2 linked regions of the Xenopus tropicalis genome follow. The protein of the gene in region 2 purifies or fractionates together with the protein of the main gene of each other region. This does not show direct contact. Links are inferred from orthologs where the notes say so. Each region holds a gene or a part of one and is shown on either strand. Other genes may lie near its edges. The genes, in order: sirt5 and gls.

Region 1 (3,821 bases), on a different chromosome or scaffold from region 2:
AAACATACATCTCTCTCTAAATTAGCCATACATGATGTAAGGTTAGTAACTGTGGGCCAAATTAGGATAAATTGAATGTTTTGCCCCAGAGGCTCAATGTGGAAGACCGTAGCTACAAGCTGATATGGTACTTGCCCAATTTTCAGCCAGATCTCAATAAGGCAGGACCTTCCAAAGGCCATATACAGGGGGCCATAAGCTACTGATTTGCACTGAAGGGGGCAAGACAGCAGCTTTTATCCCTCTGTGTATGGCCAGTAACTATTTTTACAAGAGTATAATGATGCAGGCTTTCATACTAGGACACTCTGATCTCAGACCCATTGATTAAGCAATATGGCCTAATTTTTTTCCCAACACCAAGTTTTATTTTGATTGCAGTATTCCTATGATTTGGAAAGACATGCAATTTGTAATGTCAAAGATGCATAATCATGTCTGGCCCTTTCGTACAACAGAGTGAGAACTGCAATCCATTTTATAGAACTCCATGTGGTATCATGATATTGCATACGATTTTCACACAGAGTGATTGTATCATGATTTAAAATGAAACAGGTTCCAAAGTAAAATTAGACCTGAGGTTACATAAAAATCAGTTTGCATCCAGATTTATTTTGACTTCATAGAGATAAATTAGGAAGCGATCTTTCCACAGTCAATCAGAACAATCTGCTACACTCTCCCTTCAGCATTATATGTAATGTGATTGGTCCCACACTTCCATAATAAAAAAGCTGTGCAAAACATCTACCCAGATCTAAACTGCCTGCAACACTGGTTTAACGATACATCATCTGCACACACAACACAACAGTTTTCATATTTATTACATTACAGAAATTGCATTTTGAGCATTAATCAGCAAAACTGGAAGAAAGTTTTTTTTTGTACTGGAGACATTTCTGATTGGGATGAAAAAGAAAATCTAAGATTTCTTTTAGTAAATGCAGTTTCCTCACTATATAGCACTAAAAAATGCAATTATGTAAGGCCTAATAGTGTGACCTGTGTCTTGTTCTTAGTATTAAAATGCCCAGCGGGCATTTTTATTTTGCTTGTTTTTTTTGGTCAAACAGAATAATAACCAATCATGCAAATATACAGAAAATAATTCATGTAACAGATATAATAAAGAAGAATAACAACCAGCAAGTTTACTGGTTTAAACATTATTCCATATTTAAACGCACAATCATTTCATGTATGGTGCAAATTATCTTCCATAGTGCAAGTGGAGAAAATTCTCAGCAACCACAAGGATTATTACATGACAAATATTAGCCTTCTCAAAAGCACTTTGAAGTGATTGCTTGCAAGACTGCTGGTCCATTCTCGCTTTTTTTTCCTATAGTAAAGACTTTTGTTCATACACCATATATACAGTAAAGTCTTAGGAACAGCTGCTCCTCTGCATAGGGTGTTAAATTTAAGAAATCAGTTCTGTCTCGTGGCGTGCTATTGCCGGTGGCAGAGTTGTTCCACAGGGCCCCTGAAAATGAAACCTATGAAGAAAAAAAAAAAAGTTAGAATTAAGTTATAAAGCGCTTTGCATGGTGAAAGAAAATGTAATTCTACTTTCTACTGTGCAGTAATTAAACACACTGAAGCCAACAGGCAATCATATAGCCCCAATAATAGGGAGCTTTACCATCCCAACATTCATAAAAAAAAACATTTCAAGCAAGAAGAATTAGAGGTTAAAAAAGCCAGAACTGTCCGTATAGGAATGCAAAGAAATGAACAAATACCAACTACATTTACAGCGTACTTGAAAGCCACTGGAAATATTTAATCAATGTGTATTGGAATGTTGCTTAGAATAATATTTTCTTTCAATGCAATAAAAAAAAACTGGGGTGGAAGATTTAAAGCATGTGACCAGATTTCTCTTACGTAAAGCTTGTCGTAGCTGGGGTATTTTCCATGTTAAATTCTGCTACAGGCACTCCTCTAGCAGCCACCTGAGGTGCAAACATTGCTGCAGGATACACAACTGATGAAGTTCCAACCTGTATAATACACAGAAAATAATAAACTAAAGTGCTTTCTTTTCCCTGTTGCTATCTGTGTATACAGTTAGAGTGATTATTACTGCAAATGCTATTTATTATTGACTTTGCAGTATATTATTTCATATTTTTACCCAATTAGATGCACAGTAGTAAAAAGCTTAATTAAACTGCTACAGTACCAGGTGTTTCAAGGGACTCAAAATTCAGTCATTGCAATTTGGCCTACATGACACCCCTATATTTAATTTTTCCATTTAAAATAGAGAATTTCAGACAATTGAGTAAAAAGGAGGCACAAACAGTTCATTTTGAATCAATTACTGGATTTGTAAGGTATATTCTAGTTTTAATATGAGTCCCCTTGTATAACGTATCAAAAACACAGAGGGTTTATGTGTACAGTCATGTTATTACCTAGCATAGCTTAATACATACCACCACACAGAGGTCACATATTTCAAGTTCTTTTTCCACTTCTCCGAGGAGATTAGAATCCAAGGTCTCTCCAAACCAAACAACATTAGGACGCAGAAGACCATTGCAGCCATTTTCATCACATCTGGGTAGATAAGTTACTATTATCTTTTATTTATACAGTGTCACTGTATTACAGTGATTATACAACTTTTAAGAACAATCCCTGTTCAAAGGGGATCCTTCTTTTTTGTATAGTTTTTATTGGAAATAAATAAAGTACTTGAATATCCATCTATTAAATTAGCTTTGCATGCATGCATATTTATGTATTTGAGTATGGATCCAAGCAACAGAAAAAACATAAGCATTCTTAGTTCAACAGTGCATGTGCATTAAGTAATGTTCTATGTGGGCAGCGAAGGAAGAGGTGGGATCAGGTCTGGACTGGCAATCTGTAGATGCAGGCAATTATTAATGCTAATGTTTAGAGTAAACCCGCCATATTATTAAGTTTAAAAATGAAGCTTGCTATAGATCTGATACTGTTCATGTTTCAAATGAGTGGTGGGCATGTTCACAATTGGAGGAGATAGCCCATCACAGCCCAACAGTGACACAAGCAAAGACAAGCTTCAGTTCCCTATCAGGTCAGCCTAGCTGCTGATGGTTCCTACCCTACAGTGCAGGGTGCTGAGTGCTGCTGGCTCCCCTACGCAAGCTGGGAAAGAAGGCAGCAAGAAGTGGAAAAGATGGGCGTGACTAGAAGGGTTTTTGCAGAAATTTCCAATAAATCAGCCTGAAACTAGGGATGCAGCAAATATACTATTTCGGAATCCTGCTGAATCTTGAATCCTTCATGAAAGATCCGGCCAAATAACAAACCAAATCTGAATCACAGGAGGATCTGGCCACAGGAGGGTTGAAGAAAACCACGTATGCAGCTTTTTTATGTGATGAAAAGTCATGTTATTTTAAGAATTCCGTCAGACCAAGCTGATTTGGCTGAATCCGAATCCTGTTGAACGAGGCCGAATCCCAAACTGAATCCTGGATTTGGTGCATCCCTATCTGAAACATCTTTTTTTCAGCACATTCCTTCTATATTTAAAAGTTGAATGCACTGCCACATTCTTGTTATTTACAAAATATGTCTCCTTTAACAGAGATTTGTTAAGTCTCTGCTGGGAATTGCATGGTTACATTCAGATCTGGACTGGAATTTAAAATAGGCCCTGGAATTTCAACACAGAACCCCAACAGCCCTCACAATCCCAATAAATAACCTATACCCAATTCCAGAATCTTTTCTGCTTTTGAGTATTGCCACCAATCAAAATACATACAGGACCTACCTTGTCCACAGCCTCTAAAGCACAGGTGTGAAGCGGA
Region 2 (4,510 bases):
GTACCTGTACACACAGAGTTAACTGCACAGTGGTCTGTAATATTGCTGCAATTGATGTGTATGGAGGAAGTCTATTTTATACACTCTTTTGATACACCTGTTATCTGATTATTGAAGTAAGATTTGTATCTGCATTTGTAAATTGCAGGAGGGTGACTGTCAGCTGATCTAAGACTGCTGGTGAGCAGCACAAAACCCAAATGAGCCTGAAATGCCGTGCATATGTCGATACAAAGCAAGCTGCTTTACGATTATATGTACAAATGCAGCTTCATCAGCACCCAGCCCAGCTCCATTCCTTTACTTTACCTTTTCACATGTTTGCTACTGAGGGGTGTGGAGTCATGACATGCTGCAGCAAATCAGTTTTTAATCTACTCTGTCACTCACATTTCTCACTCACACAGATCACTGACACAGACCAGGGAGCCAGAGATTCTGGAGGGTGGCGGATGGGAGGCTGCTTCAATAATCAGCCATAACTTTGTAACAGTGCAAAATTTATAAAAGCTATTGTCAAAAAGTTTGTATTTTGAATATTATAAAAACATTTTTCACAATCATTCCCCTTTAAAAATGTACCAGCGCATTATAATCCTTTAAATAGAAGGACTGTGCTTACAAAAAGTTTTTGAGAAATTCCCCCATCTGTTCCACTTCCTGCTGCCTCCTTTTCCAGGTTGTACATGGGGGCCAGTGGTAATCCACACACTGCAGTGCAGGATAGGAACCAATCAGCAGCTAGGCTGACCTGATAGAGAACTGAAGCCTGTATTTGTTTGTGTAACTGTAGGGATGAGATTGGCTACTCCCCTCCTACTGTGCTTCTAGCAGGGAACATTAGGACACACCCCTCCCTCATTTGAAACATGGACAGGGAACTGAAAGGATCAATATGGAGCTCCAACAAAGGGCCATTTCTACAGATAGTATTCATTTTTTAGCATATATTATTGATAATTGCCTACATGATTACAAGTATTTTCATTTAACCTATATGTCTCCTTTAAAAGATTAAGAAAATATTTAGAAAGAGAAATAATTATAGAAAAAAAAATTAAATGGGTGCCTGATAACACTGGACAACTAGGCTATAACCTAGGTAAGCCTATGCATTAATCTGTTCCTGGTCACATAAAAGATATTTACACCCTTGTTATAGAATTAGACGATTAAGAGAATGAAATAAGCTGAACAGAGAATACAAACAGTACTTAAAGGAGAAAGAAAGGTAAAAACTAAGTAAGCTTTATCAGAAAGGACTATGTAAATACAGCCATAAGCACTCACAGAAACGCTGCACTGACTTCTCTGAAAAAAGATTCGTTGTGTCTGTAATTCCTGTGCCAGAGACACGCAGCTTTCTGTTCTCTGCTCTTTCCTGCTCCCCCTCCCTCAAGAATGCTAAGAACTCACTCCCCCCCCCCTTAGAAATGTGGATCTAAACCAATCAGCAGGAAGCTGACTCATAGTCTTACTGAGCATGTTCACTTGGTCTGCATGTCTGTGCAGGAGTGAGGCATTATGGGAACTTTCTTTACACAGCTCAGCGTTTTTTCTTCTTCGAAACAGGTGAAATATGGGGAGACTAAGGGCTCTGGCACACGGGGAGATTAGTTGCCCGCGACAAACCCCCCTGTTCTCGGGTGACTAATCTCCCCGAAAATCTGCCTCGAGAGGAAACTTCCACGATTTCACTGAAATCGCGCCGCCGTGTATGCCATCCCACCGGCGATTTACATTTTCGCCGGTGGGATGGCATTTCAGGGAGATTAGTTGCCCGCGAACAGGGAGATTTGTCGCGGGCGACTAATCTCCCCGTGTGCCAGAGCCCTTAAGGGCACTATTGAGACAACGGAAGATATGCTCTTTACTAGCCTTTCCTTCTCCTTTAAGGGTAAAGAAAAAATGCCCCCTGGCTACTTAATGTGGCCTAGTTAAGTAACGTGTGCACACAATGCTTAATAGGAAAAACTGAGCGTTTTCCCTTGTGACTTGATAAAACTACTACCTAACTCGTAGGGTCAATAGATGGGTATAGATTTGCCCTTCTTTTCCGGGCTTGAGGTGGGTGATTATGCTCCTTCAGTTTTAACAATGAGCATAACCCATATCGTCGCCTTGACTAAAAACAGAGAACAACTTAAGTAACAAAAATGGCTTTCGCAAACAGATTATCTTACTGAATAAGATGAATATATAAATAGAATTCGGCACTGAATTCAGCATAAGAAGCGCCTACACTGTACTACGCGGCCAGCTCTTAATTCCCCTAACCTCTCACAAGGCCGTACCCAGTACGCCAAGCCTACCAACAAAATGACAGCGATCCGGTAAACACCTCCCTCATCCATTCCTCACAGCGAGTTACCCCACTACGTCACGGCACGCCCTGTACCACAATAGCACGTTAAGAGCGTTCGTCTTCCAGGGTTGGCGGCCGTTATACACTCACACTACTCACTTTTCATCACTTGAAGGTTTGGAAGCGGATTCCACGTCGGGTGGAGTTAGTTTGCTGCTATCATTTTCCATCGTACCCTCAGATTTGGAACTGTACCTCCGGGCCGGCAGTACACACGCGCCTGTCAGCCAACGTCTCTTCCAGCAGCTTACATCGCCTCTGTTCCGAACATTGTGATAGCCAACTGGTGTGGCAAGACTACGAACAGACACAGAAACTAATGTGATGGCCGAAGTCCTGTAGCTCATAATGTTCTGTAAATCTCTAAGCATAACACTGCTCACTAAACGTATCATGTTTGCTTTGCTTGTCTGCTCTCACCCTACGTTGCCGCTATGTCTGATATTTAATACGGATCGCTTTTTACTTGAGCTAAGGAGAGGGTAACCCTTGCAAGAAAACTCATTGGTTACATGTCATGTCTGTCATGATAAAGGAGAAATACATTGGTTGGCCTGATGGGCGGTCCGATGACGTTTCTATGCAAAGAGGCGAGTTTTTGCACGGCTCTGGGATTATGTCTTAAAATGAACATACCGTGACGTGATTATAGTTTGGTTGGTAAAACGTACTAATAAACAGTAGAAGTATGAACAAAGGGTGGCCTGGGTATTTTTTTGGAATATGCTATGAAATAATAGCTGTCATTAGATAATCAGATCATACTAATTAGTTCCATATAGTTTTAACTAGATTATATCTTAAACATTGCTCTAAGGCGTTTCCTCTGTATGTATTATGCAGTCAGAGGGCGGAGCTGTTCCTTTTCGCTTCCTGTTCTGAATGCCTTGAGAGGCAAGGCCTAGTCTGTCAGCAGGAATGCAGAGCAGATTTTGGCACATCGGGTCTGTGTCTGCTGGTGCCACCCCTGTCTATTCATTCAGAACATGTAGATTAACCTTTTCTCCACCTAGTGCACAAAGGCAAACAAAACACCCCATGTGCCTATTGCAAGGACACACAAAGGGACAGATTTGTACATATGTATAACTTTATAAAGTGCCACAAGGGTACGCATGCTGTACAATCTTACAAAATACAAAATTACACACAGGGAGGACAAGTGTTATAAATCCAATAAACATATATAAATGCACAGGGAACAAGTGCCATGTGGTATGGGACACAGTAGGAAGAAGGTCCCTGCCCAGTAGAGCTTACAGACTAAGTGGTTGGGTAACATACAGGCACAAATTGGAAGGTAAGAGTGCACCAGGTATGGGCATTTGCCCTTAAAGTAAAAGTAGCACTAACATTTTTTAAGTAAAAAAGATATTCTACCCTGCACCAATAACTGCCCTATCCTGCAAACCACTTAGTATTTTAAATGCTTTAATAGAAAATGCCTGCTAAAACTTGGCTCCCTGTCAATTGAACTACGGCGATAAGGCGAAGGAAGGAGCTGCATCCACTATGCGACGATCGATTGATCGAGCCTAGCCTTCTTTCTGTATAGGAAGGAGTCAGGCTAGGCTCGATCAATCGATCGTCGCAGTTATTGGTGCAGGGTAGAATAGCTTTTTTACTTAATAAAATTTAGTGTTACATTTTCTTTAAGCGTAGGACTAGGCAAAATAATGTTTTAGTGCTCCAGAAGGTAACAGCTGAGCTTTTTCTTAAAGAGAGTTAGTGAGTGTTCCCTATGGAGGGATTCAGAGATAGAGTTCCAGAGATAAGGAGAAGCAAGATAGAAAGGTTTAAGATGAGAGAGCGCAGTGGGTGTGGATGGTGTAAAAAGATGGAGGCTCTAAGAGGAGCAAAGGAGATGACCAGGAACATGCAGGGAGAGTGAAGAAATGTAGTGAGGAGCAGAGGAGTGAAGGGCTTTGAATGTTAGCAGAAGGATTTTGTAAGCTATCCTTTGCTTAACAGGCAACCATGCTAGAGAGCTCAAGTGAGGCTGAACAGGTTCCCTCTTAGGAGAGAGAAGACCAATTTAATTGCTTTTTATGATGAGGTAAGTAAGAAGCTGGACAGTGGGGATGCAGTAGATATAATCTATTTGGATTTTGCCAAAGCATTTGATACCGTTCCCCACAAACGACT

Evidence for each region.
Region 1: the proteins of gls (region 2) and sirt5 purify together in Homo sapiens (affinity purification with western blotting; 3 studies listed by BioGRID and IntAct, with this or other methods). This does not show direct contact. The link is inferred for Xenopus tropicalis from reciprocal best matches to the Homo sapiens genes GLS and SIRT5.

What each region holds. Positions count from the first base shown.
Region 1 is NC_030682.2:91,793,051-91,796,871, reverse strand, and holds the end of sirt5 (NAD-dependent protein deacylase sirtuin-5, mitochondrial precursor), read right to left. Parts: intron 2,575-3,821; coding exon 2,451-2,574; intron 2,013-2,450; coding exon 1,897-2,012; intron 1,506-1,896; coding exon 1,430-1,505; 3' UTR 585-1,429; downstream 1-584. UniProt on the Homo sapiens protein: NAD-dependent lysine demalonylase, desuccinylase and deglutarylase that specifically removes malonyl, succinyl and glutaryl groups on target proteins.
Region 2 is NC_030685.2:45,590,302-45,594,811, reverse strand, and holds the start of gls (glutaminase kidney isoform, mitochondrial), read right to left. Parts: upstream 3,006-4,510; 5' UTR 2,761-3,005; coding exon 2,465-2,760; intron 1-2,464. UniProt on the Homo sapiens protein: Catalyzes the first reaction in the primary pathway for the renal catabolism of glutamine. Plays a role in maintaining acid-base homeostasis. Regulates the levels of the neurotransmitter glutamate, the main excitatory neurotransmitter in the brain.